Ovis aries: one gene and its partner. The protein of the gene in region 2 binds, or shares a complex with, the protein of the main gene of each other region. Links are inferred from orthologs where the notes say so. Each region holds a gene or a part of one and is shown on either strand. Other genes may lie near its edges. The genes, in order: LSM10 and LSM11.

Region 1 (16,570 bases), on a different chromosome or scaffold from region 2:
GAACACTGAGGCACCGAGAGGTTAAACAATCTGCCCAAGGCCACAGAGCTACAAAGCTGCGGAGCTAGAATGTGAACTCAGGAGGTCTGGCTCCAAAGTTACTCTTAACCTCTATAATACAGGGTACTTGCCTCTCCAGGCAAGGACACTGCTGCTGTCATGCTATTATGTGGGAAATGAATGAATGAATGAATGAATGAACAAGGGCCATCTCCATAATGTCTAAGATTTAAGGGACAAAGAGCTGGCACAGCAGATCCATCAAGGAGCACTGGCCCAGCTCACAAGCGCTGTTTACAAACAAGGGTTCTTTTGGCCTTACAAGTGCATATCCTGCTCTTCCTTATTTCATGCAAAGCTGAGCAAAGAGAGAAAGTGCCCAGCCCAGAGTGACTACCCTCTTCTTCATTGCTCTCAAAACCAAGCAAAGCCAACCGGTTTCCTCCTGTGACTTAATACAGAGCAAAGTCTATCTTGCCAACGAAGGCGGCTGTCATCTCTTCCTTCCGCCAACAAACGGGCATCAAACCTAGAGAGTGGGGGTGGCAGGCAGAGTACTCGACGTCTGGAGGGAATCCCGATGCCCCTACCTACGACTGGAAGGTGGGGCCAAGCGCCCTGGGGATGGGCAGGCCTGATGGGGCATGGCAGGTGAAACAGTGACCACAGCAGCAGGCTCTCTCCTCGGCAAAGGCCGGTCAAACACAGCACCGACTAGCAGCTAGCTCGGACCCGCACCTGATCGCCGCCCCGGACTCGAAATTCTCCAGCAGCGATGGTGCCCGTGCCAATGGGTGAGGGCTCGTGGAGGAAGACCGGGCTGGAGAAGAAGCTCTCCGGGGACTCGTTCCAACTCTCAAGTCACTCTCGAGATCAGGAGGGCAGTACGGAGAGGAGAGAGTGCCTCTTGGGAAAAACCTGCGCCTTCGCTGACTGACCAAGTGACTCCAGGCAAGGCTGAGCTGTGCCGACTCCCAGGGCTGGGGCCGAGACACCCCCTTGGCCACCCGGTACCCGGCGCGCAGAAGCCCCCGCCCCCTCCCCCGCCCCCTGGGAAGAGCAGACCCCAGCCGAGGACGGCGGATCCGCTGTTGTCATTTCTGTCAAGCCGGACGGCCTCAGGCTGTCACCCTGATCCCCTTGCCACGGCCGCTGAGGCCCGCCCCCACCAACCCGCATCCCCGGCCGGGCTCCTGGCTCCCCTCTCCCGGACCCCTGCCCTCACCTTCCGCCGGTGCTCAGCGCTGCTCGCCCATAGTCCGTAGCCCGGAGCCGGGGCTGCTCGGCGCTCCGTCCCGGGGGACCGGGGCCGGGCAAGGGGCGTGGGAGCCGCTCACCGCCGTCTCCCGGCGCAGCCTCCCGAGCCACCGCCGCCGCTGCCGCCGCCTCCCTCCATGGCTGCAGCGCCGCCACCTGACAACGGAAGTGACGCACCGCCCCCTCCTCCCGGACAGGCCGCAGCCCCGCCCCTTGCCCATATCTACAGCCCACGGCTCTGGGATTGGGTGCCATATTGACGAAGGGCGGAAGCCTTCAGGCAAGAGACCAGAATCCGATTGAGGATTGGTTCAGGGTGGGGCTCGGGCTGAAATCTGGGAAACGATTGGAGGCCGAGACTCTAAGGGGCGGTACTTACCGCTTATCTAAGTCTGAGGTGAGGTTGGGCCGGAGGCACCGCCCCCGCCGCTACTCCACTGAGCCTCGCGTGCCCTACACTCGCCCTCCCAGGTCTGGAGACTTCTCCAGCAGCTGAAAGATCGGTCGGTTGTAGTATCTTTGTCAGAAAAGTGGCTCTTTCATGACCCCCATTTCTCGGTTCCTGGAGCTTTGTGCGGCGAGCGCTGGCGTGGGTCTCATCAATGACAGGAATTCCTGCCGTAGCCCTCACAATTCATTTCCCTCTGGGCCCCTTGCTTTTGTAGAAATCCCGCTTCAATCCGAAGATCCCTAGAGTCTCGACCAGGCAGGTTAACAGTGAAGAGTTCCTGTTAGCTGTTCCAGCCACCTAACCTCAGCCCCTCCTGCTGCAGTTTCGGTCCCTTTCTCCTCCTTCTCCAGCAACCACGCCCTCCATGAATCAGCTTCTTGCACCAGCAGATGAGCCCTTTAAAGGGATTGCATCAGGCTGATGACTCACTAGGGCCCTCTGAGAGCCTGGCTTCCCTCCACTGGCATGCAGAAGCAGCTAGAAGGGCGCCGTGGTGGCAGTACCCGCGATCACGGACCCACTCCTTTGTCTCCGAGGTGTGAGCCAGGATGCTAGCTGCATATGATTCCTGATTCTCTTTCCAGCTGTGTTATTCTGTATCCATTTGGGCACACGTGTCCAAGCCTGTGTGCACAGCTCTGGATTTTCCTAGGGTGTGTGGCCAAGCACTTACGTGTATGCACGCATTTGTCATCTCCACACAGGCAGTGACTGCCAGGACATGAGAGTTGATGTGAGTGAGGCTGGCTGCCTCCTCCTGTGTCCTTGTCTTTGTCTCTAAATGCCTAGTGTACACTGAGCTGAAAGGGCTGAGTAACAGTAGTAATCGAAACAGCAGTAGTATGTCAGACACTGTGTTAAGCACCGTAGAGACATCAATGTTAAGGAGTCTGTTCGCAGATGAAGCAGCTAGAACTCTGAGAGGGAAAGTAACCAACGACACATTATTGGCTCTGCCAATAATGGCAGAGCTGTGATTTGAACCAAGTCTGGCAGATTCCAAAAAGGTTGAATTTGAGTCCTTGCTGTGTCTCTTACAAGTTCAGTGACTGTGCAAGTTCCCTAATCATCCCCATCTGTCAACATAAGAATAATACTTTGTGGGTTCACTGTGAGGATCCAATGAGTGTGGAAACAGCTTCTCATGGGACCTGATGAACTAAGAGTGCCCACACTCCTCTCAGCAAGCTTCAGTGCAGTGGAGGACTGAAAGCAGGCACAAAAACGCTGGGCCCGGCCCCCCAAGCTCCTATCTCTGACAAAGGGAAAAGCCTAGAGATTCCGGAAGCTCTGACAGGAATGAGTGTTGGGTTTTCCAGAGCTCTAATTATCAGCTAGATGAATCACTTGGAGCTGACACCACCATCCCCAGCCCCAGGAGGCTCTCAGCTGATTCAAAATATAGGATTTTGACAAAGAGGAGGAGGAGGAGGAAGAGAAAGAGGGGAGGAGGAGAGGTAATGAATAGAAAGGAAAGGTGCCAGCCAGAGGAAATGAAAAGCTGTCATCAGGACACGAACATGAGGAGACGGCTGCATCACACGCACGCACGCACTGTGACACATGCTCCTGCTGGCTCTCCAGCTCTGGGCATCTTGGCAGACGACACTGCCGTGACAAAGTGACACCTGTCACAACAGCATGAAACGGTTGCTTGACGATGTACAGGCAGATCTGCCTATTACAGAAGGAGAGGAGGAAACCTTCAACCCTAGGGAGCTTCCTCAGGCTTCTGAAACCCCGCAAACCTTTCCTACTGGCTGACTTCTGGGTTCTCTGTGGCCAAGCCCCTAGAACCAAGGTATGCCGGTTCGAGTGCTAGGCCCATACCTGGTGGCTGGGTACCATCACTGTTAGCAGCGTGCTTGGTTACTCCATTGTGTCCGACTTTGCAACTGTTTGAACTATACCCTGTCAGGTTCCTCCATCCATGGACTTTTCCAGGCACAAGGGATCTTCCTGACCCAGGGATCAAACCTGAACCTCCTGAGTATCCTGCACTGCAGGCTGACTCTTTTACCCACTGAATCATCAAGGCATTGCTTATCTTACCCGGTTACCAGTATCAGGAATGCTGAGAGGCAGAACAGTGCAGTGTAGTAGCAAAGATCATGGAGTTTTAGGCATACAGACCTGAGTTCAAATCCCCACTCTGTTGTTCACTGGCTCTGTGACCCTGAGCAAGTCAGGTAACCTCTCTGGGTTTGTTTGCTTATCTCTAAAACGGGGCTACTAATACATACCTCTAGGGTTGTTGTAATGATGAAATGAGATGATTCTTTCATTTCACAAAGATTTATGGAGTGCCAGCTGTGTGCAGAGCAGAGTTGGATGCTGGAGATCCAGTGGGACCAAACGGACCACAGCTCTGCCCTCCTGGAGCACGCGGAGCCCCTGGCACAGGGCCTGGTGCACAGTGAAATTCAATAAGCAGTAGCTGTTTGTGGTGACCACCTTGGCATTCTGCCATTATCTTAATTATGGGACACAGGGAGACCCCTCCACCTTCTCCTTAAAGAAAGAGGATCTCCGCTTCCCCAACTGAAAAAGGACAGAGTTGGACTGGATCAGGGGTTCCCAATATTGTCACCTTAAAAGCCTTTTTTAGTATTTTCCATCCACATGAGCCTCATATCTGGTAAGATTTTGTACAACCTGCCATCAAGTCATTTCTTCCTTTTTATTCATTACAGCTTCATATTACAGCTATGAGAGCTTGTGATCAGGAAGAGGAAGCCAGTGGCCCATCATGCTGTTGGTATAATTCCAGCCTGAAGTAGAGATCAAGTCAGCTTGGTTAGTGTTCATATACAACGCGCTGTTCCTCTGGTCCTTCTGGAACACTGATAAGAGCTCAAGGGACTCCTGCTGCCCTCAGGGACCATTCAGCTAGGCATTCCAGACTGGAACTCACTGAACTGGATGTTCTTCTGTGGGTCCCATCCAGCTGAGAGCTGGAGATGCCGCACCATCCTAGGAACTGAATGTCAAGCCACAGCCCACCCAGTTCTCCTCAGATCCCTGGTAGTCCCCTTCCCCAGGTGAGTGAGCCTCCTGTCCTCTTCTCTCCATGGCCTGGATATGCCCTCTCACTCAGAATTCCTGAGTGCTCAGTCATGTGCAGGCTTGAACAAAGGCTGCAGCGATGACCACAAAACCCAAACCTCGATGGGACAATGACATTTTGAAATACATTTTTCCTCTCTTCCGTGGTGTCCCTTGGCTCTTCCCTTATGCAGTCAGGTTACTATGCATTCATTACGCCAGGAAACAAATGACACGCCAGAATGTGGAGTTCAGTTTTAGCTTCTGAATTCTAAGAGCCTTGCTCGCCTTCAGGGAGGGATGGAAAGAATATCTGTGCAGATCTAAATTTAGAAAACTGTAAGAAGGGGGATCTGGGAGACTGAGACTTGAGGGGGTGGTCCCTGAGAATAGAGCAGCTCAGCCTCTGAGCTAGAGGGCATCTGCTGGGTCTCAGGGCCCGGGAAGCAGGAAGACATGTGCTCCTTTTCCTGGTGGAGTGCCAAGAAGTAACAGAACCCTCTGCGCTGCACTGTGGCAAATGGGGCCCAACTCACCCAAGACCCTAGGAACTTGCTGGGCCTGACTGGCCTGGAAAAGTAAGAGTGAGAGTCTGAACACCAAGAGGGGGATGGGTTACGATCAGATGGGAGGTGAGGAAGAAGCACCTAGGCAGCATCCTGAGTGGGCTGAAGACAGAAGACCAGGACAAAACCAGGACATCTCGGGGGATGCCAGTGGGACTGCCCTTCCCATGCTTTGGCATCTTGAAAGGAAGTGCCCTGGAATTCAACCGATTCCAAAGAAAGTGATGGGGAACCCTGAATTGACTGCAGTTAAGTTTCTGCCACTCTGGCTGAGTAAAGCAAAATATGAATTCAGCTGAGTTAGAGAAAATTCAAGTTATGTTTCTTACACACTTGAGATTGGAACCAGCTATACTCCTGACCCACAAGGCCCTGTATCATTTGCCTCACCTCTTTCCCATTTCTCCTGTCTCACCTGTCTCCTTCTCCTCCACCAAGTCATAGTGGTATCTGGTTGTTGCCCCCAACCCTCAAGCTTTCCCACCTCAGGACCTTTGCACTGGCGATTTCCTCTGCCTTCCCTTGGCTTTTTAAATGGTAGGTGCCTTCTCAGTTTAAATTTAACTTCTTCAGACTACACTTTTGGAAATAAAACCTATTTTCTCTCCATGTGCCCTGTTTATTTCCTTCCTGTTTACTTCCTTCCCATCTGTTTACTTTTCTTTGTTCGTCTCCCCTCCAGAACATCAGCTCCCTGAGAGCAGGACCCCCTGTCTCTCTTGTTGTTCCCTCAGTAGCTGGCACTGTGACTCAAATTACTTGTGGAATGAATGACCCGTGGCTTGCCACAGCTTGGTGGGCACTGAGCTCCCCCCCATCCCTACCTGGGCCCTGGTCAATTTCCCAGCAGTCCAGGACCAGATGCCAAGACCCATAACTTTGGGGCTTGAACACATAGCTGTGCTCTACCCCAGGGACTTGGCATTAGTGTATCTCAGAAGGTCTTGGTACCCTGCCTCACACCCGTCTTTGGAAGCACAGAGGCCCACTGGGATCTGTGCAGAAAGCTTACAGAACTTACAGAATGGGTCCAGAGCCGCCCTTCTCAGCTATCCATGCTAGGCTTTCCCTTGCTCTTTGGAGGATGTGGAAGTCGCCCCTCCTCCCTTCAGACGCCCCCACCCCAGCCCCGCACACCATTTGAAAGCAGAGCCAGGCCTACCTCTCCTCCACCTTTAGGCTGAACTCCCAGCCCGGGCCCTCTTCAAGTATGGCAGCGTCTGTAGACACGTGGGAAATGTCTGTGACAGTGGCAGTGTGGGGAGACTCCCCGCCAGCTCATCACACCAGAGGCGGTCTCCCCCCTGGCTGTGAGAACACAGACATTTCCACAGTGACGCCTCCCTTCCACACCTGCCCTCTGGCTTCTTACCCGCACTCTTCTCGTGTTGCTCTCCTTAACTCTAGCTATCAGAGAGGCCTGGCAACTCAGAGCAGTGGTTTTCTCCCTGCTCAGATCCACTGTTCTCCCCTGTGGCCTCTGAGGCCTCTGGGCAATAGAAGAAATACAACAGGTAAAGGACTCATGGTGGATGGGTGGGTGGGTGTTAATAAAGCAAATTTTCAGGCTCCAGATTCTGTTTTCAATCCGGGGATCCAGGAAGGTGGTTCTTCTAGACATTCCAGCTGGTTCTGCTGAGATGGTCCAAGGACAACACTTAAACAGACTGGATTAGAACGTAAACGCAGGGACTGTGGGCTGCCTGCGCCCAAACGAACACCGCTCTGCAGTCTCCCTCGGGAAATGTCTGCCTCCAGCCCTAGATTCTAAGTCCCTCTCCAGAAGCGACCAGAGCTTATTGGACAATGTGTGCTCAGCAGGAGGCCTGCCACGCGGCAGCTGCTCTGTGGATGTTTGTTTGATGAAGACAAACTCTGGTTCCATGGGACAGTCACTTTCACTGAGATGGTAGTTGGCCTGTGGCAAGGCTGCCAAAGCTGGGGGAGGCAGTTACAACAAAGGCTGGGGTTCTCATCCCGAGACCCCCTTCTTCCCCGAGGGCCTAATATCAGAATCAGAGCCTGATTTCCTGCTGCTGGATGAGCTTCTACACTTGACGGTAGGGTCCGGGATTACTCCAGGCTCTCCCCCAGGAAAGAGCACTGAGATGAACAAGCTCTCCAACGGGAAATATGAACAGAAGAGTCACTCCCTGACCAGACTGAAGGCCTCTCTTACATCCTCAATCTTTGCTGCATATTTAGTATCACCTGGGAAACTTAAAAAAAAAAAAAAAAAAAAATTCCACTGCTTAAGCCACAACTCACACCAATTAAAGCCAAATAGGTGAGAGTGGGCCAGGGGACTCCAACGTGCAGCCACGCTTGCAACCCAGCACCGTGACACAAGACCAACAGGGAGCCTGGTGCATGGCAGGAAGCATGAGGCACAGACTCGTCTGCATCCTCTTGTTTCACGAGAAAACAAACACAATTACAAGAGAAATGGGGCCCGTCAGGCCCAGCGTGTTTAATAATCCTCAATGCAAGAGGGTTGAAAACTGACACAATCCCTCAATCGGTAAATTAGAGATTTAGATAAATTATGATCCAAAGGGGGGGGGTTGTCATCTACCCCAAGGCCACAGTCAGATAACTAAAATTCCGGGTCCCAGGGTGAGTCTGAGAGGTGAGACCCTGAGAAAGGCAACTGTGACAGGTGACGTCTGTCAGACACCAGCTTCTGGGCTGGTCCTGCTCCCCTCCCAGGTTCTGGGTGGGCAGGGAGAGCAGGCTTTGGCTCAGAAGAAGTCTGCAGGAACCTGAGTGGGGACCAGGACAGGCTTACTTAAGAGTTTTTGGAGGGAAATTCCTGCCGGCCTTGCCCCTTGCTGCCAAAGTAACGCACCCGATGGATGACCTGCAGCTGCTGCTCAATGGTTGCGGTAATGTTCACGTTGTCGGGGATGTGGACGTAACGGACGTTCCGGCCTGTCACGAAGAGGTCGTCCAGCTCCACCTGATGCCCCCAACGGTCTGTGTAGGTGACCTGGGCCAGGCGGATGTTCATGAAAGCATCGACGTTGTCTATGCGTCCGTGGGCCACGCTCTCATCCCGCAGGTCCACGGTGGTGACCTGGCCCTGGAGGCCCTGCAGCAGGATGATCAGGCTGTTCTCGGAGATGGTCCGCTCCTTCACCGAGTGGCTCACCTCCATTCTTCCACGCTTGCTCTGGGAGGGGCACACACAGGGGAGCTGAAGCAGGCTAAGGAGTATGGGTGCTAACTCACTGATGTCAGCTTTTAGCACAAAGTCCCCAGCCCAGACTTCCCTAACTCTGTCCACCTCCTCAATTTTTATGCCTACAGAGTGCCCTTAGGTGCTTTCTTGGACACACCTTATAGAATCCTCACAACACCTTGCAAACCAAGGATCACTTACACTCACTTTATAAACAAGGAAAATTGGGCCAGGAGATGTTAAGTAACTGGCCCAAGGTGCTGGGATTCGAATCCATGGCTGCCCAGCTCCAATTCCGACACCAAGGGTTCTGAACCCTCATTGTGAGAATCACGCAGTGAGTTTCTGGTCGCCACACCCAGAGGTTCTGATTCATTTGGTCAGGGGTGGGGCCCAGGTACCCTATTCTGTAAAAGCTCCCCAGGTAATTCTAATGTGCATCTAAACGCAGAGACAATGCATAGACAAGGAGTTTGAGAACCACTCCTCTAAAGTGTAGTTTACACCCTTGCTGCTCAAAATATGGTCTGTGGACCAGCAGTTTCAGCATCACCCAGGTACTTGTTTTGGAATGCAGAATCTCCAGGCTTTCCCCAGATCTACCGAAAGAAGCTGCATTTTAACATGACCCCTAGATGAATCGCTTCACCAGTTTTCAGACATTAGTGTGCATCAGAATCACCTGCAGGAGGGGTTAAATGACCCGCCCCCACCCCACCACCACCACCCCGGCCTTTCTAACTCAGTCCGTTTGAGGTGGAGCCCAAGAATGTGCATTTCTAACATATTCTCAGCTGATGCTGATATTGCTGGTTTAGGGCCCACTGAGAATGACTGGTCCACCCGATGCTGCAGCTATGTAACCAGGAATTTAGACAACTGTAAAAAAAGGAAATGGTAGCGTATATGGCACATAGGTATTGAAGGCAGAGAAATTTGGAGGTTGGAATCCCCACTCCACCCACACTCTGTAGACCTAGGCCAGTTACTTAACGTCTCTGAACCTGTTTCCCCGTCTGTTAAACCAACAGGTGAAGTTAACAGGTTCTCACCACGCTGAGTGTATCTTCCTTTGCTTTCAACACGCTCGGATGCTATATTAATGGGGGGTGGATAATGTCTTACCCACCCCCCATTTTCAGACCTTGAGTGCCAGGTGTTTGAATTTCTTAAGACTTCACTCAGGATCCCGATAGGGCTGTGCAGGGTGGCATGAAGTGTGACAAGCTAGCTACCCACTCCACTGACAAGGTGCTAGGAGTTGGGCCGGAAGACTCTTAACCGACCCCACCCAGGTTTCACCAGGCATATCCGCTCAAACGGGGGTTTCGGGGAGCACAGTGACTGCAAAGAGGCAGGTCTGGGCCGGAGGACGGGGCTCGGTTACTTCCTTAGAGTGTCGACCTCGAGAAAGCCACTTGGCTTCTTCAAACCTGTTAGACAGTCGCTAGAGTGGGGATGGTGACGACCCTTTACTCACAGAGCGTGGGAGTGGGCTTGGGAAGAGGAGCTAAGCTCAGCAACCGGGAGGAAGACGCTGGCCCCGCTCCCGCCGCCTCCGTGGTTCCAGGCTCGCTCGCGCTCCGCCCCTGGCTCCCCAGGCCCGCCGCGCGAGTTCCTTCCGCTGTCCCGCTGCACGTCGCCGCCGAAACTAGCGGGCGCCTAGCCGGGCGGCCTCCCTCTCGCTGCCGGATTAGGACGCCAAGGCAACCGCGGGGCCGCTCGGTCCTTCCGGAGCGTCGAGAGCGCGGCAGAGCGCAGAGCTGGCGTCCCCCGCGGCGGGCCCGGAACTACAATCCCCAGAATGCCTCGCGGGCTCGAGACGCCCTCCTGCTGCCCGACCGACGTCGCTGGATTCTCTTCTTTGGAGTCATTCTTTCATTCAGCAAATGAAACAATAGCTTCCCTGGCGGCTCAGTCGGTAAAGAGTCCATCCTGCAATGGAGGAGACCTGGGTTCGAACCCTGGGTTGGGAAGATCCCCTTCTGGCAACTCACTCCAGTATTCTTGCCTGGAGAATCCCACGGACAGAGGAGAGTGGCAGGCTACAGCCCGTGGGGTAGCAGAGTCGGACACGACTGAGCGACTTTGATTTTCACCTCTTTACCATCTGGGCCACGCCCCTTCAAGGTTTGAGTGACCTTCATTAATGTGTGACAGCACCTGGCACACTGGAGCAGCCCCATGACTTAGGCCTAGGTCGTTCCTTTACCCTCTCGTTTACAGGTTTCAACCTCTCTCAGAAACCATCCCTTTTTCATCCTTCACCACAGCTGGCCTCTTCTTATTCTAAAAATAGAAAATGTCTTTCTCCTCCCTGGCAGCTACGCTGTTTTCCTACCTTCCACAGCTGAACTTCTCAGGAGAGGCCTCTATATCAGTGATTCTGCAATTGGGAGTTCTTTTTCCAATCCCATTTCTACGTGAGACTGGATTTTCTTCTTCTTGTGGTGGTGGTGGTGGTGGTGTAGTTGCTAAGTCGTGTCGGACTCTTGCAACCTGTAGCCCGCCAGGCTCCTCTGTCCATACTGCTTCTCAGGCAAGAATACTGGAGTGCAGTGCCATTTCCTTATCCATTTCTTCCCCTACTTCAGCCAAACCAACATAGCACAGTGGGCTGAACGCAGAAGCAGACATGAGAATCTGTCTTCTAGTAGGACAGACATTGAACAGATTTGCAAAAATATAAAGCAGTGTCACTCTTCTCACCAAATTAAAAAAATATATAGTTATTTTAAAATAAAAATATGATAATGGGTCTGTTATTGTTATTTAAAAGGGAATTAATATTAAAATCTTATCTCAATTTCATATATATGTGATTACTATATATATATATCCCACATAAACAAATACTTTAGCTTTCAGTAATTTTTAAAGAGTACAAAAGGGTTTTGAGACTGAAAATTTGAGAACAGCTGCTCTATCCTGAGGGCTTTCACCTACTCACTCAACTCACTGTAATCTGGCTTCTTCTCAAGAGTGTTTTTAGTTTTACTCACATTAACTTCTCTTGAAAAGTTACTAATGATCTCCATGTACATAAGGGAACCTCTTATCTCCTTTCATTAAAAAAATATTATTTGTTTGACTGTGCCAGGTCTTAGTTGTGGCATATGGGATCTAGTTCCTGACCAGGGATGGAACCCAGGGCCCCTGTATTGGGAGCACGGAGTCTTAGCCACTGGACCACCAGGGAAGTTCCAGGGAACCAGTTGCCTTAATGTTATCTGGAATGCTTGTTAAACCCAACCCCACACCTACAGAATCAGGAGTAGAGCCTGGGAATCTGCACATCTAACAGTGCACACCAACGGTGAGACCCGATGCCCTCCTAAAGTCGGACTCAGCGACTCCCAGGCAAGCCCTGCATTCTTGTCTCTGCCTTTGCTATCGTGCTCATCTGCCTGGGTTTCTCTCTTGCTTGGCTATGGATGTTAAGTCCAATCCCTCCTTCAAAGGCTGGCTGTACCTTTCTGAAGTCTGATAATGCCAACTGGGAGTGAGGCTGATAGCATACTGCTTGATATGTGTTTGCTTGGTGCATGCAGATTCGCCATAGCTATTTATGTAAATCTCACCTCTCCTACTCATCTCTTGGGTGTTGAGACAGGGAGAAGGCCCTAGGAGGCTGAGATGTTTCACCCTACAAACAGCAGTTTCAGGAGGAACAATGGTTTTATGAATGTGCTGTGATGATGGGAGCTGAATGAACTGGTGGCAGTGGGATGGAAAGAAGGGATGAGTGTTAAAGACCATGAAGAGAGTGAATGAGAATCCTTGGGGACTGATTAAATCTGGAGTATAGTTTGCAGGAGGGGAAATCAATGATTTAAATTTTAACGCTGATGGCCCATTGACAGGAATAAGAGTGGTAGGGTTGGGAGGGGGTTCACGCCTGTAGAGGGTATCTCATTTTTGGGCTACACAGCCCACTGAACTCCTTTCCCCACCTTTGGGGAGATCTGCCATTGTGTGAATTTCAGTGAGAGGTGAGTTTCTGTTCCCACTCTAGATGGTTTAAAGGGCAGATAACGTCTCTGATCCTTGTCAGCTATGGCACAGGCTGGTGACCTAAGCTCAGGCATTATCGGATTCCAAATCTGGAGCAAGGGACACAGACCAGCAGGAACTGTTGAGGCTTCATCTTGGTGTCTGCGTCATCCAGCGCCTCATCCCTGCGGGTGCTGCTGCTGCTGCTGGCGTGCTCTCCGTGCCGCCTCCCCGTCCCTGGTTCTTGGCCATTTCGCATGGTCCTTCACTCTTCCTGACAACTGTCAGTTGCCTGAAGCCCTTTCAGTAAATTCCTTCTCCACCTCAGTGGAGAATTAGTTCCTTTTTTTTTTTTTTTTTGCAGTTTCAAACCCAGACTAAGGCCCACTTGAATTGAGTTCATTTCAGGATCCTTGAGAACTTCCTTGGTGGCTCAGACAGTAAAGCATCTGCCTACAATGTGGGAGATCCGGGTTCAATCCCTGGGTCAGGAAGATCTCCTGGAGAAGGAAATGGCAACCCACTCTAGTATTCTTGCCTGGAAAATCCCATGGATGAAGGAACCTGGTAGGCTACAGTCAATGGGGTCCCAAAGAGTTGGACACGACTGAGCGACTTCACTTTCACAGGAGCCTTGAATTTCCCTGTTCCCTGCACATGATTTCGTTGTGGTTCTGTATCCAACAGTCAGAAGATACAGAGTCCTGAGAGTTCGGGTGATTCCCAGGCCACCTGCTCCAAATTCCCACCCAGGATCCAAATCCCCTCTCCAGCCTCCCTCACTCCCGTGTCCCCCTAGTCACTGCTTGATATTCCAGTGACCAGCAACTCACTCCTGTGCTGGGCGTTCTACTCCATTGTTAGGAAGTTTTGGGTAACTTCTATTCATTGCTTCTGGTGCTTTTCCATGGAGAACTGTCTTATTTTGTATGAAATTTAAGAAGATTCTTCATGCCTTTTGACAGTAAAGTGAATGTCCTGAATAAATAAAAATGGTATCAATATTAGACATGAAGCGTGAGGTGATGGAATGTCTCAGGAAAAGTGAACCTGCAGCCCAGAGAGAGGAATATGGAAATTTGTGAGTTAATAGTATGGGGTCAAAGTAATGGCCTCTCTGAAAAAAGGAATGCAAAATAGTTTGCCGAAGAATGCAGACTAAGCACTGCAGGGCACATAAAATATATGGTCAGCAGGCATGGAGGTGGGGAGAGCAAAGGCTAGGGCCAGGGCGAGAAATGGAGACAGGAGCTGACAGCTGAAGTGAGAGTGTGATGACAGGGTGGGTGGGGGAACCCCAGGGGTGAAACAAGGATCCTCCAGCAATTGCCCCAGCCATTCTGACAGACTGAGAAATGGCTACATCAACATCTGTATCAGAGGGCGAGCTTCAATCAGAAGCCACCGAGGGGGGCTTTCCCTGGCGGTCCAGTGGCCAATAAGACTCCGTGCTTCCAGTGCAGGGGGCCCAGGTTCAGTCCCTGGTCAGGGAACTAGATCCCACATGCTGAAGCCAAAATATCCTGCATGTCACAACTAAAGCTGAAGATCCTTTGTGCCATAACTAAGACCCAACATAGCCAAGGGAAAAAAACAAAACAAAATACTGAGGAAGAGAGGGGAAGTGTGGTCAGAAATTAGTAGGATCTGAGCACAAAGACCTAGTAAGAAAAAGAAAAGGGCCTTGAACTGGGCCCAGGAGAATGGGGAGCAGAGACGGCAGCAGAATCCAGCAGAGCTGGGGCTGGAGACTGGAAAGGGACTGTGTTGTGACTGAAGCTATGGGAGTGGGAGAAAGCAAGGTGAAGCAACGGGAAGGCTGGAGAGCTGGTGGGGGGAGGAGGTCCTGGAAGAGCTGAGGCCATGCTGCGTGGGATCCAGGGGCTCTTTGGTGGCCTTTTGAATTTTGATGAAGTTCTGAGGTGCAGAAAGAGGGCTGGGTAGGGGTAAGGAAGGTAAATGATGTGCTGAGGTAGAGGGGAGAGGTGAGGGAGGGCATCCCACACAGGTTATTATCTTCTCAGTTGTAACTGAAGCTGGGAGGCCTTCTGGATATCCAGAAAAACCTGAGCTGAGAGCATCCTTCCTTGTCCTTCCCCTTAAATACACGAAAAAAGGAGAAGGCGAGGGTGGGATGGTTTGAGAGAATAGCATTGAAACATGTATATTACCATATGTGAAACAGATCGCCGGTCCAGGTTCGATGCATGAGACAGGGCACTCAGGGCTGGTGCACTGGGATGACCCTGAGGGATGGGATGGGGAGGGAGGTGGGAGGGGGGTTCAGGATGGGGGACACACGTATACCCATGGCTGATTCATGTCAATGTATGACAAAAGCCACTACAATATTGTAAAGTAATTAGCCTCCAATTAAAAAAAAAGAAAAAGAAATGAAAGGAAGTTGGGGAATTTTACAAAGAGGAGGGTGGAGGGATCTGAAGCCAATGTGCACGTGTAGGATTTAGGAGTCTTGGGTCTGCCCCCAGGTCTATAAAGCTTCGTTTATACTTATTTTATCCTTTATGTGTTTTAAAATTTTACATTTTAAGTAATCCAAAATAAAGAGAAAACAATTTATGAAGTTTATAGACAGTGACTTTTGAAGAATTTTTTAAGAGATGTGAATTTAAACAACTTCCTTTATTGTAATTTCAGCTGTCTCTGTGACTTTCAAAAGGTCACTTTTAAACTTTTCCTCTTATTTTTCTCCCAGAGTATGGGACTAGTGTTAATGACACATCCTGGCAGGTCCTTTACCTTCATAATGAGAAAGAAAAAGGCCACACCTCGCTAGGCCTAATGTGACGGGTTTCCTGTGGTTTTGGAACTAGCAGAGAAGATACTGTTATTTTTATCAGCAGAGGACCCACTGGCCAGAAACAAAAAGGATGTAGCGTGTGTGGATGTGGGGGGTGGGGGAGGTGTCAAGGTGACCAGAGAATCCAGAATGATTTCCACTGGCTCTTGGAATGCATTTTGACATTCTCATTTGAAAAGAGGTGGGCTATGATATGAAAATTTACTTTGCATTGAATCCTGAAGCTGGGTAGGGAAGATTCAACTGAGAAGAGGGGTCTCCAGCCCAGTCCCTTGAAAACAGTTCTTTCCACTCCCTCTGCTGCCAGCTGACCAGGAATTTGGCAGTGGAAGAGGAATTTTCCAGGTTTGACTTAAGGGAAGGAGCGTGTGCATGTGCTAAGATGCCTCAGTCGTGTCTGACTCTGCGACACTATGGACTGTAGCCCGCCAGGCTCCTCTGTCCATGCGGTTCTCCAGGCAAGAATACTGCAGTGGGTTGCCATTTCCTCCTCCAGGGGATCTTCCCGACCCAGGGATCGAACCTGTGTCTCTTATGTCTCCTGCACTGATATGTGTGTTCTTCACCACTTGCGCCACCTAAAGGGAGGAAGGGGTGGGTAAACGGTGTATTGACTTGGATTTTAATTTGGGTCTTTATAATTAGGTATTAGTACATGAACCAAGAACTTCCAGATGTTCAAGCTGGATTTAGAAAAGGCAGAGGAACCAGAGATCAAATTCCAAACATCTGTTGGACCATAGAAAAAGCAAGAGAATTCCAGAAAAACATCTACTTCTGCTTCATTGACCATGCTAATTAAGTGGATCACAACAAACTGTGGAAAAGTCTTTATTAAGAGATGGGAATAGCAGACCACCCTATCTGCCTCTGAGAAACCTGTATGCAGGTCAAGAAGCAACAGTTAGAACTGGACATGGAACAAAAGACTGGTTCAAAATTGGGAAAGGAGTGCGTCAAGGCTATATATTGTCACCCTGCTTATTTAACTTATATGCAGAGTACATCATGAGAAATGTCAGGCTAGATGAAGCACAAGCTGGAATCAAGATTGCCAGGAGAAATATCAATAACCTCAGATACACAGATGACACCAAAAAGGTGTCAAAAAGCAAACAGGAACTAAAGAGCCTCTTGATGAATATGAAAAAGGAGAGTGAAAAAGTTGGCTTAAAACTCAACATTCAAAAAACTAAGATCATGGCATCTGGTCCCATCACTTCATGGCAAATAGATGGGGATACAATGCAAACAAC
Region 2 (15,770 bases):
ATGAAATACCAGATGGTCCTCACTTGGCAGCCACTCTTACCACAGCTGGACCACTGCCCTGGGGGTGCCCACCGCCACAGTCCTTTCTGGGAGCCACGAAGCCCTGTGTACATGTCCACTTTCAGTCAAAGAACTGGGCAAAAGGAACTAGACATGTGAAAAACCAAAAGCTCTGGTTTAACTCAGCTCTCTGGTTTCTGATTAATCTAAGGGGATTAACTCCACTTGTCCTCAAAGCTCCCTATTCAATGCCTGAGAAATTTGATATGTTTCAGGTACAACTGGCCAGCAACAAACTTAAGAGTCAGAGAGACAGACCCCAAATTTGCCATTTATTACCAGGGGAGATGTTGGTAGCTTATTTAATGTGTTCCAGTTCCCTCATACACATATTGGAGATAAAATCTCCCCCTTGCTGTGGTTTTATCTGAACAAGGTAATGCAGGCAATAGGTTTGGCACTTGTAGATTCCTCTTCACCATACGCTGCTGGGAAATTATTCCTTGACGGACAGAGAAGGTCTTTTGAAGGCCTTGATGTGAAGTGCTGGGAGACTTACCAGCACTTCCTACCTTATTGCTCCTGCTCCCAGAGCACAGCCTAAAACACCACACTTTTCTGTGTCTATTAGAAATTTTCCTCGCTTGCAGTTTTGGACTGGAGGTTTTATTCTGGTTGTGGAATCACAAGAGGAATGCAACCGCTCTCATAACGGAGCATCAGGCATTAACACTGGGAGAAAGTGAATTTCCAAAAGCGAGACAGCAGCTGAGAAATAGAGGAATCAAGTCAGTTTTCCTGAAGTAATCTCCTGCCAGCAGGCGGGAAGGGGACAGGTGGAGTTGACAGCATTCTGAGAAGAAATGAGGAACTCCACCATGTGAGAATATCAACAGACTCCCTAAAATAGTGGACACTGCCCTTTCTCTCTCCCTTAGGCACTTTCACTGGCTGACGGCTGCCGTCAGGCTGCCTTAGCTTCACATTATGGAAATTCAGCAGTGGTAAGAGATGGTTATATTGCCAGTTGGGTTGACTACAGTTTGCTTTTCCTTGATTATTTAGGTTCAGACTGGTGAGTGTTTAACAATAAATGGTAGCAGTAACTGGAGATCTGGAGCCTCAGGTCCTTCTGGGATTCGACACTTAAGCAGTTCTCTTTAAGCTACTGCCATCTAGTGGTAACTGAGCAGACTGACATACCCTTCACGTCTATCCAAGGAGAAAATGGGGCTGGACAAGCACTTGTTTTCTCTTTGCCACTCCTATCCAGAAAGCAAAAGGAGAGCAACAGATGATAAATTTCATTCTGCTGGCCTCCACTCCCTGCCAATATTTAACCATCATTGTACATTTTGTATGTCAAGCTAGCAGACTCTTCTGACTTTAGTTTGATTAATGAGAACATTTTTATTTAATCACAAGTCTTTGAGATGTAAAACAAACAAGCAAGAGCAGAAACAAGCAGAACTGGAACATGTGGGTCTTGCCTCTCTTTTTTCCACTGTGATGCCTACAAACTTCTTGTATGCCAACTGTGCCAAACTTAATGTATCCTTTGAAAGTAGGGAATTGGGTCTTTAACTTGAGGTTCCCCCCTCTAAAAATCAATGTCATTTTTGTTTGTCTACCTTATTTGGATGACTCAGGGCTAGAAGCACACAGAGGATGTCAAGTAATCAATGTGGCAAATCTCTGGGCAGATCAACTTCCTGTATGTGCACAGAGGAGCTGGTGGCAAATTCAGATATTCCTGGAAGTGTGTCAATCAGCAAGATGTGGTAAAATCCTCCAAGGGGAGCTGAGTCAATGGTGATCTCAGCAGGTCGTGAAGAGAGTGGATTAACACCAGTGAGCTATTAGGTAGGATAAATTCACAGGGCAATGACCATTGCTTGGGGCTTAGAGGAGAGAATTCACAAACATGGGCCAAGTTCCTTTTCTAAGTGTAAACTTCAAATAAACCTGAATAATGATCTAGATACATGTGCTTTGCTAAAGAAAAGGCACAAGGTTACAACAACGAGACTGCAGAAGGCCTGTGATGTGTTAACTTTCTAGATGGGTGTCTTCATGGGTAACAGACTCCCCTGCCACCTCCTCTCCACCCATCCCTCCTCAATTAGCAGAGACAAAGCAGCCAGTTTATTAAGACAATTGTATTTATTACAGTTTCCAGACTCCCGTATGACAAATACTGAAAGCAGAACATTGCAAACTGATGTTACTAGCAGCAACCCTCCATACACAGGAAGGGTTTAGGTGAATTTAACAATGAGGAGTAATTTCAAGACAAGATTAAAAATCATGGTTTTTCTTGTAGCAGCTGGTTTATGAAGAGTGAAACTATTAATACACAGAGTCATCCAGGTTTAGCCTTGTCTAAAAAACAAGGTAATAAGTCACGGTGCAGAGGGGTTTCCCCAGGGCTGCCAAATAGGAGGCTAATGCCTTTAGATGTCAGGATGGAATAAGCAAATCACTTTTCAAGACATCGCTTACTATCTGCTTTACTGTTGGGACAACAAAAAAAGAACTGGACAGCTGCCCTAGAGCTTAGCTCACACATAATTCAGCCAGTCATTGTTTCAGTAACACCCCTAAATTTTTTAAAAATACATTTTTACCCCACAGCTCTAAAAACATAACATCAGACATTTGCTCCAAAGGATTAAAAATCAAAAGCAATTGCAATGCACTGGGAATAGCTTTTATAGCTTTCCTGTGGGACAGTTCCTATCTCTTCAGAGAATGTTTTTAAAGAAGCACTGGCTCTGGTAGCTTATCAAACTACTTTTTATTCTAAATAAATAAAAGACCAACTGAAGGTCTCAGGTGTACTTCTTTTTTTTCCAGCTAGATCTCCCAACCATCCAAAGCCATGTCTTGACAGACAGCTTTCATTTTTATTAGAGGAGTGCAAGAGAAATTACAAACATTTGAAACATACTCAAAACACCACGAGTACAGGAGGCCCAACTCCTCCTCAAAGCCCAGGAAATGATGGAGGAACCCCAAAGGCTTATCTTAAATCCATCAACTCAATTTGCCAGGAAGTAATGACAGACCACCCACCTTTGCAACACAGGCCTAGATGAGATTTTCTTTCTTCACAAACACTAAGAGCCTTCTGGGAGTTGCTACCCAGAAACACACAAGCTGACGAACAGAAGCTACTGAAAAGGAGTTGACTGCATTCTATATGGCACAGGAAAAGAAAAATCCAAACAACTACAAACCATTCTGTTTATACCATGACACTCTTAGATGAATCTTGGTCTTCCCACAGCAATCACTTCATTCATAAAAATACATAAAGGATTAGAAAGCTTTGGGACAGCACCAGTGACAGCTAGCTGTCTTTGAACAATTTAAATTTGTTCCTAAAGGCAAAAATAAGAGAAAATTTTAAAAAGTAATTTACAGAACAGATTCTATTTCATGATTTTGCCCATGTCTGCTGCTATGAAAACAGTACAAATAGAAATACAAATATCCACTCTGCATCAAGTTAGGTTCTTTCTCAAGGGGTACAGGCAGTACACCTAGGTTTGTGTAAGGCTTCTGAGGCTGGGGCTGATAATCCCTAAAGGTACTCCTGGACCTTTTCACATGAAGACAGGTAAAGCCCTTCTTCATTCACTAACGACACTGGCAAGGATTCCTATGCACCTTGACTTTAATGCTAACAGTTTCTAGGCTTTCTGACTTGACACGCAACATGCAGAGAGAGGAAGAAACCAACTGGTCCAGGGCCGCCTGCCACAGACAACTCTAGCTAAGCATCTCACAAACAGCCCACCTCTATCATAACTGGTCTCTGAAAGAAAGCAGAAATACTTCCTAATTACCAGCACAAACAACCTAAAGTGCAGCCTCTCCTAGTGGTGAAGCAGTAGAACAACCTCTGTGTACAAATATTGGCCCATGAGATCGTCCTGGGGGTGAAGCCACACCTTCCATCTCTCAGTCCCTTGCTACTTTCTAACAAACCTGTATACCCCTGAGAAGACCTCAGCAAGTTCATAAGTCTGCCCTGAAAACACGCTCCCTTGTCTAGAGATTACTCTGAAGAACTTCAGTTCAATGTTAAAAAAAATAAGAACTAGAGTCTCGATCTCAAATCCCTGGAGAATACTAGAAGCCAGTTGTGGTGTATATCGGCTGTTTAGGGCCCCCTTGGCGAGCTGATGGGGGGCCTCCAGAAATCTGCTGTTCTGGCTGTTACTTCCCCTTTTTCTTTCCTTGCCTTCTCTTCAGGAAGACTTCAGTTATTTCCATAGCAATTTGTTAAAATGTCTTAGATGATCACATTTTTGAGCAGCATGTACATTTTTAGAATATATTTTTCCTTCGTTTTGAAAAATTTATCCAATAATAAACGGCAATAATTTTAAAAATTTACTTCTATAAAATAATGATTATCATGCTTTGTACAAAACATCACATTTACTAGACAGTAATCATCCCAGAATCACTGTCCAAACCAATAAATGGGGAATATGGGCACGTAAGATAGATCACACACAGTTTTAAAATAATTTTTAGAGCCAGAATTGTTAAGTTGGGCAAAAAAGCAATAAATCAATCATTATATGGACACATGAAAATCATATGCAAACAAGGAAATGAGCATGTGTTTAAAATAAGTCAGGTTAGATTTAATCAGGTACTACAATGAATAGAAATTGATTATATTCATTTGATTCCAAATTTCTCCTTTATTGTGAAAATCTAGTAACTATTACAGCTTCCAGATGAGGGACAAGACAGACAGACAGATGGGGACAGCCAAACAGGGGAGATCGGTAAAGGGGTAAAGGTGGGGTGCCTGATGATTAACAAGACGACCGATTTCAGAACATACTATTTAAAAAGACTCAGGCTGGCAGTGTCCAAAGATAACTGTTCGCTTGCATGTGTAACCTAGAACCTCTCTAAATGTTTAGTGCATCTCATCTGGTTCTAAAGAGTATATTTGAAACCCATTTTGAAACAAAATCAAATAAAACAACTTCCACAGATTCCCTTTCAGGGATGTGCTGTTTTTAGATTCACATCCTTCCTTCAGTGCTGGCATATAAACCCCCCAAAAAGTGCAGAGGAATTCCCTCTCATCACGACCAGAAAAGGGTGGGGGCTGGGATATGGGAGAGCAGCAAAAAAAACTGTTACTTTTCTTTCACTAAAGATATTCTTCTGAGAACTTCCATTGTCTCTTAGGAGAAAGGAATGGAACATGGAAAGTAGTTCCTGAAGGTATCACTGCCTTCTGATGACAAGAAGATCATAACTGTTAACACTTACAGAGATTACGTTCTTATGTTATATAGCACCTACTTTGCTCATGAGACAGTGAACTTCTAGCAAGCTATGAAACAGAGTGAGTAAAAATTACTCATGGCACTTACGTATGTTAAAAGACTTTAAAATGCCTTCCCCAGATTCTGTTCCTCAGTGCCCCTGTGAGGTAGGTGTCTGATGGGGAAAACCTGAGGCACAGAGGGGTTAGTCTGCTCTTCTCTCACTCCATGAAGAGCCAGAGGCCCAGCCAGCCAAAGGACCAGGAGTCCCGGCCCAGCTCTCTGAGCGTGACTCACCTGCTTCTCAGAAGGCTCATTTAAGTTACACAACAAATACGGCAGAGGAAGTTTTTCTTTTCAAACATTTTAACTAGTGAGCTACTTCTCATTCTCACTTTGAATGTAAGCTATCTAAAATAAAACCTAACATAAACTAACAAAACAAAAGGTCAATATTGCCTAACAGTCTATGTCGAGATATAGCCTATTTTGCACTGGTGATTGAAAAAGCATATGATTCAAGTAGAAATAGTAGCAGGTGGTCTGGTGTTTGGTTACTCAAGCTGGGCTGAGTAACATGTCCCTTATAGACACCACTGTTGTACTTTGTGAGAACCTCTTTGGCCTGACACAAGGGAATAAAACTCCACCCGGGTTTCATGGAAAACTACCCTGAAAGACACTCGAGACAGGGCCAGCCCTGCCCGGAAAGGGTACTCTCAGCCACATGATGTGTGTGTATTCTTGAGTTCATGCAGAACTCTTCGCAGCCAGTCATGAAGGTGACAGCCTCCTGCTATAAAGCTCACAGGACAGGTCACACTATACACAGGGGGCAATACGCAGGCACATGCACTAGCACCATGCCACAAAAGTGAAAGAAGAGAAGGACAAGAGCATCTTACAGTCCCACCTGGTACACCATCTGCAGGAACTCCCTCTGGCAAGAGGAAAGCCAACAACAAGGTCCCCTATTTCTTCCCATAACATGGAGAGGGATGAAGACACAGCATTTATTGGAGCATGCTACCCACCCAGGTTTCACTCTTACATAAATGTGTAGCCTTCTTCTATCTTACAGATATTAAGAGATAGCAAAGTACATTCCTCGATCAAGAGAGAGTGGTGTAGAGTGAAACTTGAAGGTCAGTTACAAGGTGCGGATGAAGGGCTCGAGGCAATTTATACTGCTACTCTTAGATACAAGTTCATGAGTACTCAGGGCACTAGCTTCTAGAAATGAGATCATTCTTCCTGAGGAGGCTTTCTCCTTCACCACGCTATAGTGTCTGTGGAGTCAATTCAATTCATACCATGCTCCCCAATTCAAGATCTTATATTTGGTTTGAGTGTATGCAGTAGACTGTGATACCAAATCAGATGCATGGACCATGCTCTGTACAGTTTTTGCTGTGATATTAATGCAAACACCCACCACCCTCTCAAGTCGTTTTCCCTTCAGGACCTCATCTCCCAGAGGGCCCGAGCCTGGCTCTATGCTCTGCACATGCTGGACCAGAGGGATCACTCCAACTCAGAGTTACACTGGGATACTAGGATAAGCATAGCAGCAATTCATGCATTGTATTTCTAAAACCAAAGCTCAAGTGAGGTTGAGCCGGTCACTGTGCAAGATGAACCAGCAGGACGTTCTCACCTCGAATGAAAATCTGATTTATATGTCGAGTGAAAACCTGCTGGTAATCCACTTTGGGCTTTCTCTTTTTCTTACGGGATGGGCCCCTGGAAAGGGTGGTAGCCCTGGAAAAGGTACCCCCTGCACTGGACACTTCTGTCCGTGTAGTCCTCCCTGACAGCTCTGACCTGGACTCCTCCCTTGCAGACGCCTGCAAGGAAGAAGGGACGGAGCGGGAACGCCTGCGTGAACTCCGATCGGTGTCTCCTCTTCCCCACACTGAAGCCACCTTCCATGTGGATGTCTGGGAGTATCTGGAGAGAGTGGAGTCTTCAACTGCAGACTTAGAATCTGTTTCCTTCTTGGAGGAATCTTGCAGTTTTAATCGATCAAAGAGCTGCAAGGAAAGCAATGACAAGTATTAGCCTTCTCTTCAGTTTTCAACATCTCTTTTTTTCGATATACCAAGGAAAGACTAGATTCCTTAATCATGCTCTGTAGACTGTTTGCTTTGCAATTTAAAAAACGTTAGCAACAAATTTTCTATTTCTAGCCATAACTCAGATAAATCAGTAAGTATGTCAAGAGAAAAGGTACCCATTTTTTCTATGGTATAAAACTGAAAGACATTCAGACCTGATGAGGTAACTTGTTGCTCAAACAATATGCAAGTAAGAAATACAGACTCATTTTTTACTCACTGGATGCATGAGAAGAGACTAATGAAGATCTTGGTCCAAGCATGCCTGGTTGACAGCAATAAGGCTTTACTGCTGGGAAATCCTGGTCCCTAGGCTCAGTGATCTTAATTCCTAAGCTTGAAAGCACACTGGGTACTCAAAGTCAGGGGAAACTGCTTACCCTGGTGAGAGTCAATGAAGAATCCCGTTCATATGCTTTGCCTAGAACAGGTTTTCGGTAGGTCTCATCCACATCAGTAAGTGCCTAGAGAAAAAGAGACCAAAGGAAGGAAAAATATGGTATCATTCAAAATATTATTTTTATAGCTTTCAGGACAAAATTTAAATGGCAGAATACCATCTAATTATACCAGACTAAACTTAACAGGTGACTCAGCTCTTGGGCAGGAACAAATGGTAATACACGGTCCCCTATGAATAGGAACACCAAGCTGTTACGACCATATACGATGGGGTTCTCCTATGGTAAGGGGCCACTGCAAGTGTAGGGTAGAGGTTCTTAAATTTCAGGGGGGCATGAATAATCAAGGAAGCTTATTAACACATTACTGACCAGAGATGCATTAACACCACAGGCATTAGTTTCTGCAAAAAATCCTCTTGTCAGTAATGCGGCAAAATATAAATCTAAGGCTATTCTGATTCTGTACGTCTGGGACGAAGCCCAGGAACTTTCTGTTTTAACCAGAAACCCCATCATTCGGATGCAGGACAGCCTCAGACCACACCTTAAGAACACTACTGCTGATTTTCCCTTTTCAGTCTCTCTGCTTTATGACAGCAATGAAGAGACTAGCCAGGGCAATACACAGAAATACCGATGAATTCTTGTTGATGAGAGATCAACCTTACAGGACAGCTATTAGGCTCAAATGAGCTCATGTATGAGAAATTACTTTGAAAAGTGTGAATCATCTTACAAACATAAGCTGACAGTATTGTTATTGCCACCACTGCTAAACATATTCTCTTAAATCTCTCCCTTCAAAGGTAAACTTACAATAATAATAAAACATTTTCCCCCTACATTTTAGAAATGAGAAAACTGAGGCTCAGAGAAATTACTTTGCCTAGAGTTACACAGCTACCAAACGTTAAGCCAGGATTTGAATCCAAGTTTTATGACTCCATACGGTTTAAAACATGGTTTCATAAGCCAGAAAAGATAAAGTTACAGTCCCTTTCACTTACTAAGAGTGTGATTTGGGACCAACCTTCCAAAACCACTAGCCTCAGTTACTTCATTTGTGAAATAAAACAGTGATAGACTTACAACTCATTTACTGAGGTAGTATATATAAAGTCCTTTGTACAGGATCTGGCATATAGCAAGTGTTTGATAAGTATTAGCAACTACTACTATAATCAAGGGGCATGCACAGATGAAGACACAGCACAAAGAGAAGAAAAACTGGCGATGGAAGATCGTATGGAAAGAAACACTAGAAAGCCCTTGTGGCTCCTACTGTAACTGTCTCATATCGTAGCTGTGCTGTGTCCTTTTTCTCTTCCAAATGTCTGTCTAGTAAATAGACAGTTAAGCCTCTAGAAGACTGAGGGCGCATGGTACACTCCTTCATGAGCAAACACCATGCAAAGTGTCTGGTTTATTAACATGGCTGCTTCCCCTCTATCTTCATCTCTCTTTCCAAAAGTTGCAGTTTAAGTTCCTTCCTGAATTCTGTACCTAGCAATGTGCCCAGCCAAAGTAGGAAGTCAATAAATATGTTTAAATGAATGAAAAATAACCAGTAAGAAATCAATATAAAATTACTAAAAGAAGACATAAGCAATTATTCCTTAAGGCTAGATTTCTCAACCCTGGCACTAGCAACATTCTGGACCAGATAATTCTCTGTTGTTGGCAGGGTATTCTGTGGATTGCAGCGTGCACAGCAGCAGCCCTGGCCTCTACCCACTAGATGCCAGTGGTACTCTGTCCTACAGTCGTGACAATCAAAAAATGACATTGCCAAATGTCCCTGGGAAGGAGGCATAGGTAAAATCATCCCAGGTGAAAGCCACTGCCTTTGGGAAAACAATAAAAAGAACTTTTCTCTTGTTGTCCAAGAGAATTCAAAGATTCTAGGGCTTCCTGGAAGTTATTCTGGAGGTTTTGCAGAATAAAGTCCTTGAGATATATAAAAGATTTAATCCTTAGAAGGTGCTCCAGTTCCTTGCGGAAGGCTTAATTACCATATTCCAGAACTTGTCAAATGCAACGAGGAAGCCTGTACAGACGCCCCGAAGTCCCTTGAAAGTGCGGATGTGAACATTCACCTTCACCCCCTCCCGGATACAGCGATGGAGTTCACCCAGAGGGCTGCCTTCGTGCACTGGAACAAGAAGAACCATCAGCACAGAATGAATACCTGCTCTCATTCCCAGAAGTAACAACCAAGACCACCCCACCATCTCCAGCAACGCAAGGCTACATGGTATGGCACTGGCAACCACACCACAGGAGCAGGAAGGCCCAGTGGGCAGCATGCCAAGTGCAGGCAATGCACACTGAAATGAGACAAGACTCCCCAGAACATGGGTAAACCCCCTGCGTGGCCACCATCCAAAGATTTCACTACCTCCATATGCTATTTCTATGATGCCTCTGATTCTAAGAGGCAGCATCACTTAAAAACTTTTGGGGGCAAAAAACCACGATACTAAATGTGCACATCAGCAGCCAGGTTCTTCTCAGTTCTCTGCCTTGTATAACAATCTTTTTCAGGATAAACCTTACGAACTGCATATCCAGCTTGAGCCTTCCAAAGAACCAAGAACTTGGGTCACAGGTTTAAAGGAAATGAACCGTGTGACTCATCTGCCCTGAAACACATGTAATCGTCTAAGAGAGAATGGCTTTTTAGCCCTCTCGGTCTAAGCTACATCATGCAGAAGCCGTGCTCTTAGGCCACTAGTGTTTCAGTGAACATTATCTTCACATGAGGAAGAAGAGGCCTGGTTGTATTTCAGGCCTCACTGATGTAAAGGCACCTGCTGAGTATCTGACTGCTATGAAATTGCTGATAAGCATCATATGAAAAGAGAAGTATGACAATTCATGTGAAGAATGCTGGGACTAAAAACTGCAGCCTTTATTATGATGGATTTTTTTTTTCAGAGCTTGAAAGCAAGGCTGAGTTTTATTTTTATTATTTCATGTTAATTTAGCCATCACAGTACGGTGACTGTACTACATAAAACCTCCCTAAAGAAAACTGCACATGCATGCACACACACACACACACACACACACACACTCACATTTACACAATCTCACTCTTCCCCTGAAGTCTGAATGGCACAGTTCTTTGTAAGTTATTGTCATTGATAGTAGACAAACAACAATAACTCTGTCTTATTTTTAGTATAAGCATAAAAGAGAACAAGTGTCTTGCACTTCAATTCGGATACCTAAGGTGGTTACTCTTAACCTCCTTACCCCACTCATGGACTGGCTTATACATGATGGCAGGGGTAAGTTAATAAAAGAAGATAAGCGACGTTGTAGATGAGAAATAGGAGCTTGTCAGATTGAAGATTCAGCAAGAAGGCAGAGTGTCAGAAACAGTGGCCTTGGAAAGGAACATGAGACCCTTGGCCTGACCTTCACCATCCATCCCTCCTCTAGCCATATTAAACTTCTCTGTACCTCTGACACACTAAGGTATGTGTACACACACATACCTGGATATGTGTTACAGATGGCGTCAAATCAAGCACTGTAAACAACATTTAGGTCATTATAACTAGTTGTGTGAACTTGGGGAGCAACTTTTTCTCCACAAGTCCAAGTTTCCCCATTCATAAGGTGAGGTTAGACTAGGTAACTTCTAGTTTCATGTAATGAATAAGTTCCAATAATTAAATTTCTTAGAAACTGGTCACAATGCCTAGATTCCTCTACTTGCCTTCCACATTCACTCCTCTTTTCCACCATACACACGTTCCACAAAGGCTGGAAAGGCCACTCTTTTTCTAACTTAGAAGAAAACAGGGGCATTACTCCCCTCACATCCCCAAATCAGGGAGAAAGGACAAGCATGTACCTTAACAAAAATCTCTTATTCTAATTAAGCAAATGGTAAACTCAGGTTTTCAACCTTCATATCTGTACCTTTATTTTGATTTTTTTTTCTTCCAAAGATTTAACAAGGTATAATTCCAGGGAATATTTCTCTCATGTGATCAAAAATACAACACTGGCACCATCTAGCAGAGCAAAATCCCAAGAGAAAAAAAAGTTCCACATTCAGAATCACAAGGCACATTCTGAATCTCTTCTCAGCAGTATTTGTGACAAACTCCAAATGGATATGAGCCAGGCTTCTAAAACTGTATCTATGCCTTATCTTTGAAGAAGTTATTCTTCCAAATCCCCCTCTCCACTGCCATTACCCTTGGGCCACAGCCTTCCAAATCCAGGTCATTTTTAACTCCACTCTTTTATTTTTCCCTTCTTATAGCCAATACTAAGTCCAGAAAAGAGATTCTCAATAACTAAGACCTGACCTTTCTTTTCTGTTTCCACAACCAACAATACAGTCTAGAGCCTCATCATACTATTGGTTCACTTCAAGAGTCTCCAAGCTTCCCTCCTTCACATCAACAACGGCAGCAGCATCACTGTCACCAATATTATCACCAATTACTGAGCCCTCAGTATGGGCCAGGCCCTATGGTAAGTTTAACTTTACACGTTATTTTATTTTTTTTGCCACACAGCATGTGGGATCTTAGTTCCCTGATCAGGGTTTGAACCTGCATCCCTGGCATTGGAAGTGCAGCATCTTAACCACTAGATCACCGGGGAACTCCTTGATTTGTATCTTGATTGTGGTGATGAATTCACAACCTTTTTACTCACCTGAGGGGTTAATTTTGCTATATGTAATATAGCATATATTACACGCTTATTTAGCATATATTACATGCTCAACAGCCTTATTTTTAAATAATTACTGTTATCGTCAAGCATGCCCTTCCTTAACCTCAAGACCTAAAGCTGATTTCTATATGAATTCTTTTTTGGAAAAAACCTAATATTCATCCCTGCTTCTATACTTTTTTTTGCTTCCTGAAGGTCATCAATTTTTTGTGATATCTACTCATCTCTACCATGTACACCCAACTGTTTCCAGTGGTAGGATTAAAATTTTCAGTGCCTACAGCACACTTTGAGACTTTGATTCCAGGCATACATTTAATTGTGGAAAGTTGATAAAGCTGGCTTTCACCCTCTTTCATCCTAATAATATGGCGAAATGCTCCACCAGTAAAGCCAAAACCACTCACCACATAGAAATATTTCTTTTGTCTTGAAAATCTTGGCAGCAAAGCAGTACTTGGCAAAACGGAAATAAATGTTACAATCTGAGACTTGGAGGGCATTTCAAAGATCTGATAGTGGCAAAAACTATGGGCAAAATAAGCTCCCCCAAACTGCTCTTAATTTAGGCACATGCATAATGTCACTGCTGGGCAAGCAAACTGGAGTAAACCCCAGCTTAGGCAGGGATGCTTTGGCACTGTAATCACAAAGGCACCCCTAACAGCACTCAGCTTTTTAGGATGTTGCTCTCTTAACACACTTCTAGGAAAGAAACAAAATATTCCTTTACTTAGCAAAATGCTCCATTCCAAAGGCAGTGATTTAATAATGCCACAATTTAGTTATCAGGATACAGATGCTCTGAATGGCTAAGTAGGTCATTGTGTTCATGGGGCAGATGTCAGAACTGTTTGCCAGATGACAAAGATATGACCCTGGGCTGTTTCTATTCCATTTATACAAGACCTAACTCACCCATTAGCAATCTCTGCTATTTACAGCTTTACTCTAAGGAACTTATTAGGAGGCTGCAAGAAATCCCCTCGTGCCATTTACACCTTCAGAACTCAAAATAACCTGTGCATATGGTAATAGGAGCCTGACAGACAAGAGTCCCTGCACTCAGCCCGGCAGAGAGGCTGTAAAAGTGTCTGCCCTTTAGTGGCCTTCTGTGCCTGCTGCATTCCAGTGAACATATGTATGTCAAGACCCTGCAGCCCTTTCTGCTTACAGCACTGAGAACGAGCTGTCACTTAATGTGCAGAGGTCATGAGATTATGTCCCCTGTGCTATCTGAACAATTTCCTCATACTGCGTTCCTCACCCACAAATCTCACTGACCAAACCACTCTCCCTCCCCTAATACTGGCTGTGCCCTCCCTGCTCTCACCATGCGTGGCCCCAAGACTTCATCACCTCTGCAGACCCTCCCCATGATGTCCAGGCTCACCACCTCTCCAGAATCCCGCGGCCACCACCCCCTCCCCCCCCCCGCAATCACTCCTGCACATCGATTTCAGCAGGTTCCTCGTCACCTCTGTGATCACTTCTGTGGCCCCCAAGACCTTTACGCATGTTATCCAAGCAGACCCTACCCATGGCTACTTATCCCCTCTACAGCCTTGCCGCTCTTCCCTCACTGCCCAGACAGACCCTGAATTCCTCAAGCTGACCCTCCCCTCGGTGGCCGGTTATCTCTTCAGCCTTCACCAAGACCCTCCCCCTGATACACACACAGGTCCGCGCCAAGCGGCTGTCACCAGGGACACGCCCGCAGGGCCGCCGCCTTCCGGACCGCCGGCCGGCCCCCGCCCGCCCGCGGGACTCACAGGGCATTCTCGTGAGCACGTTGCGCGGCGCCTTCCTGCTCCGACCCGGACCCCGCCGCCGCGCCTCGGCGGCCTCGTCCCCTTCCTCTTTGGTCACCATGAGGCGGCGGAGGCGCTGGATGCGCTCGGGGTCCGGGGCGGGGGCGTCCGGGCGGCGGCGGGTCCTGCCCGAGGGCGCGGAGGCCGCAGCGGGGCCCCCCGAGCCAGCGGCCGCGCCCCGCGCCCGTCCGCGCCCGCCGCTCCGTAACCCGGTCCTGAGGAAGCTCTCGTATTCGGCCACGTTGTTGAAGCAGGGCGCGTTGGGGTAGGGAATGGGAGGCAGGTGGGGCGCATACAGGGCCAGCAGCGGGTCGAAGCTGTCAGAGCTGACATCCAGCCGCGGGCTGGGCGGGCGCGCGGGGCTCCCGGCGCGAGCCGACCTCGCCCCCCGCTCCCGCTCCTCCATGTTTGAAAGGCCCGCAAGCCGAGGCCGATGGGAAGAAGGAGCGGGGCCGCCAGAGGGCGTCACCGCGCAGCCGCGGCGCAGGGTCTCATCTCACTGCGCCCGGGCGGCCGCCAGGGGGCAGCGTCTGCCTGCGCTCTGCGCCGCCCGCGGTGTGGTGTGCGGCAGCTACTCGCCCGCGGCTCGGAGCGCATCAGCGTTTGGGGAAAGAGGTTCATTTGCGTTAACGCAGCGTTTTCCCATCAATATTATTATCACTTTCGGTGTTTGCTGATAGTCCAGATTCCCTGGGGATGGAGCCCGGGCCCGTCAGCTTGACAAGCTCCCCAGGTGTTTCTCGGTTCTCTGGAACTGTGGTCTACTAGTAGCTTGAGCTGGCGGGAAGCAACGGCAAGAGGGCAAAGTGAAAGTGAAAGTCGCTGCGTCGCGTCCGACTCTTTGCGACCCCATAAACTGGAGTGGGTTGCCTTTCCCTTCTCCAGGGGATCTTCCCAACCCAGGGATCGACCCCAGGTCTCCTGCATTCTGGGCAGATTCTTTATCAGCTGAGCTACAAGGGAAACCCAAGAAAACTGGGGTGGGTAGCCTATCCCTTCTCCAGCGGATCTCCCCAACCCAGGAATCCAACGGGGGTATCCTGCATTGTAGGCGGATTCTTTACCAACTGGCAGAAAGTGAAGAGGAGCTAAAAAAAAGCCTCTTGATGAAAGTGAAAGAGGAGAGGGAAAAAGTTGGTTTAAAGCTCAACATTCAGAAAACGAAGATCATGGCATCAGGTCCCATCACTTCATGGAAAATAGATGGGGAAACAGTGGAAACAGTGTCAGACTTTATTTTGGGGGGCTCCAAAATCACTGCAGATGGTGATTGCAACCATGAAATTAAAAGACGCTTACTCCTTGGAAGGAAAGTTATGACCAACCTAGACAGCATATTCAAAAGCAGAGACATTACTTTGCCGACTAAGGTCCGTCTAGTCCAGGCTATGGTTTTTCCTGTGGTCATGTATGGATGTGAGAGTTGGACTA

The links.
Region 1: LSM11 (region 2) and LSM10 share a complex: the UniProt entries of both Homo sapiens proteins name them as parts of the heptameric ring U7 snRNP complex. The link is inferred for Ovis aries from reciprocal best matches to the Homo sapiens genes LSM11 and LSM10.

What each region holds. Positions count from the first base shown.
Region 1 is NC_056054.1:11,236,382-11,252,951, forward strand, and holds LSM10 (U7 snRNA-associated Sm-like protein LSm10), read right to left. Parts: upstream 10,196-16,570; 5' UTR 9,981-10,195; intron 8,492-9,980; 5' UTR 8,477-8,491; coding exon 8,108-8,476; 3' UTR 7,754-8,107; downstream 1-7,753. UniProt on the Homo sapiens protein: Appears to function in the U7 snRNP complex that is involved in histone 3'-end processing. Increases U7 snRNA levels but not histone 3'-end pre-mRNA processing activity, when overexpressed. Required for cell cycle progression from G1 to S phases.
Region 2 is NC_056058.1:66,925,922-66,941,691, reverse strand, and holds LSM11 (U7 snRNA-associated Sm-like protein LSm11), read right to left. Parts: upstream 14,750-15,770; 5' UTR 14,746-14,749; coding exon 14,301-14,745; intron 9,977-14,300; coding exon 9,837-9,976; intron 7,885-9,836; coding exon 7,801-7,884; intron 7,337-7,800; coding exon 6,926-7,336; 3' UTR 2,145-6,925; downstream 1-2,144. UniProt on the Homo sapiens protein: Component of the U7 snRNP complex that is involved in the histone 3'-end pre-mRNA processing. Increases U7 snRNA levels but not histone 3'-end pre-mRNA processing activity, when overexpressed. Required for cell cycle progression from G1 to S phases.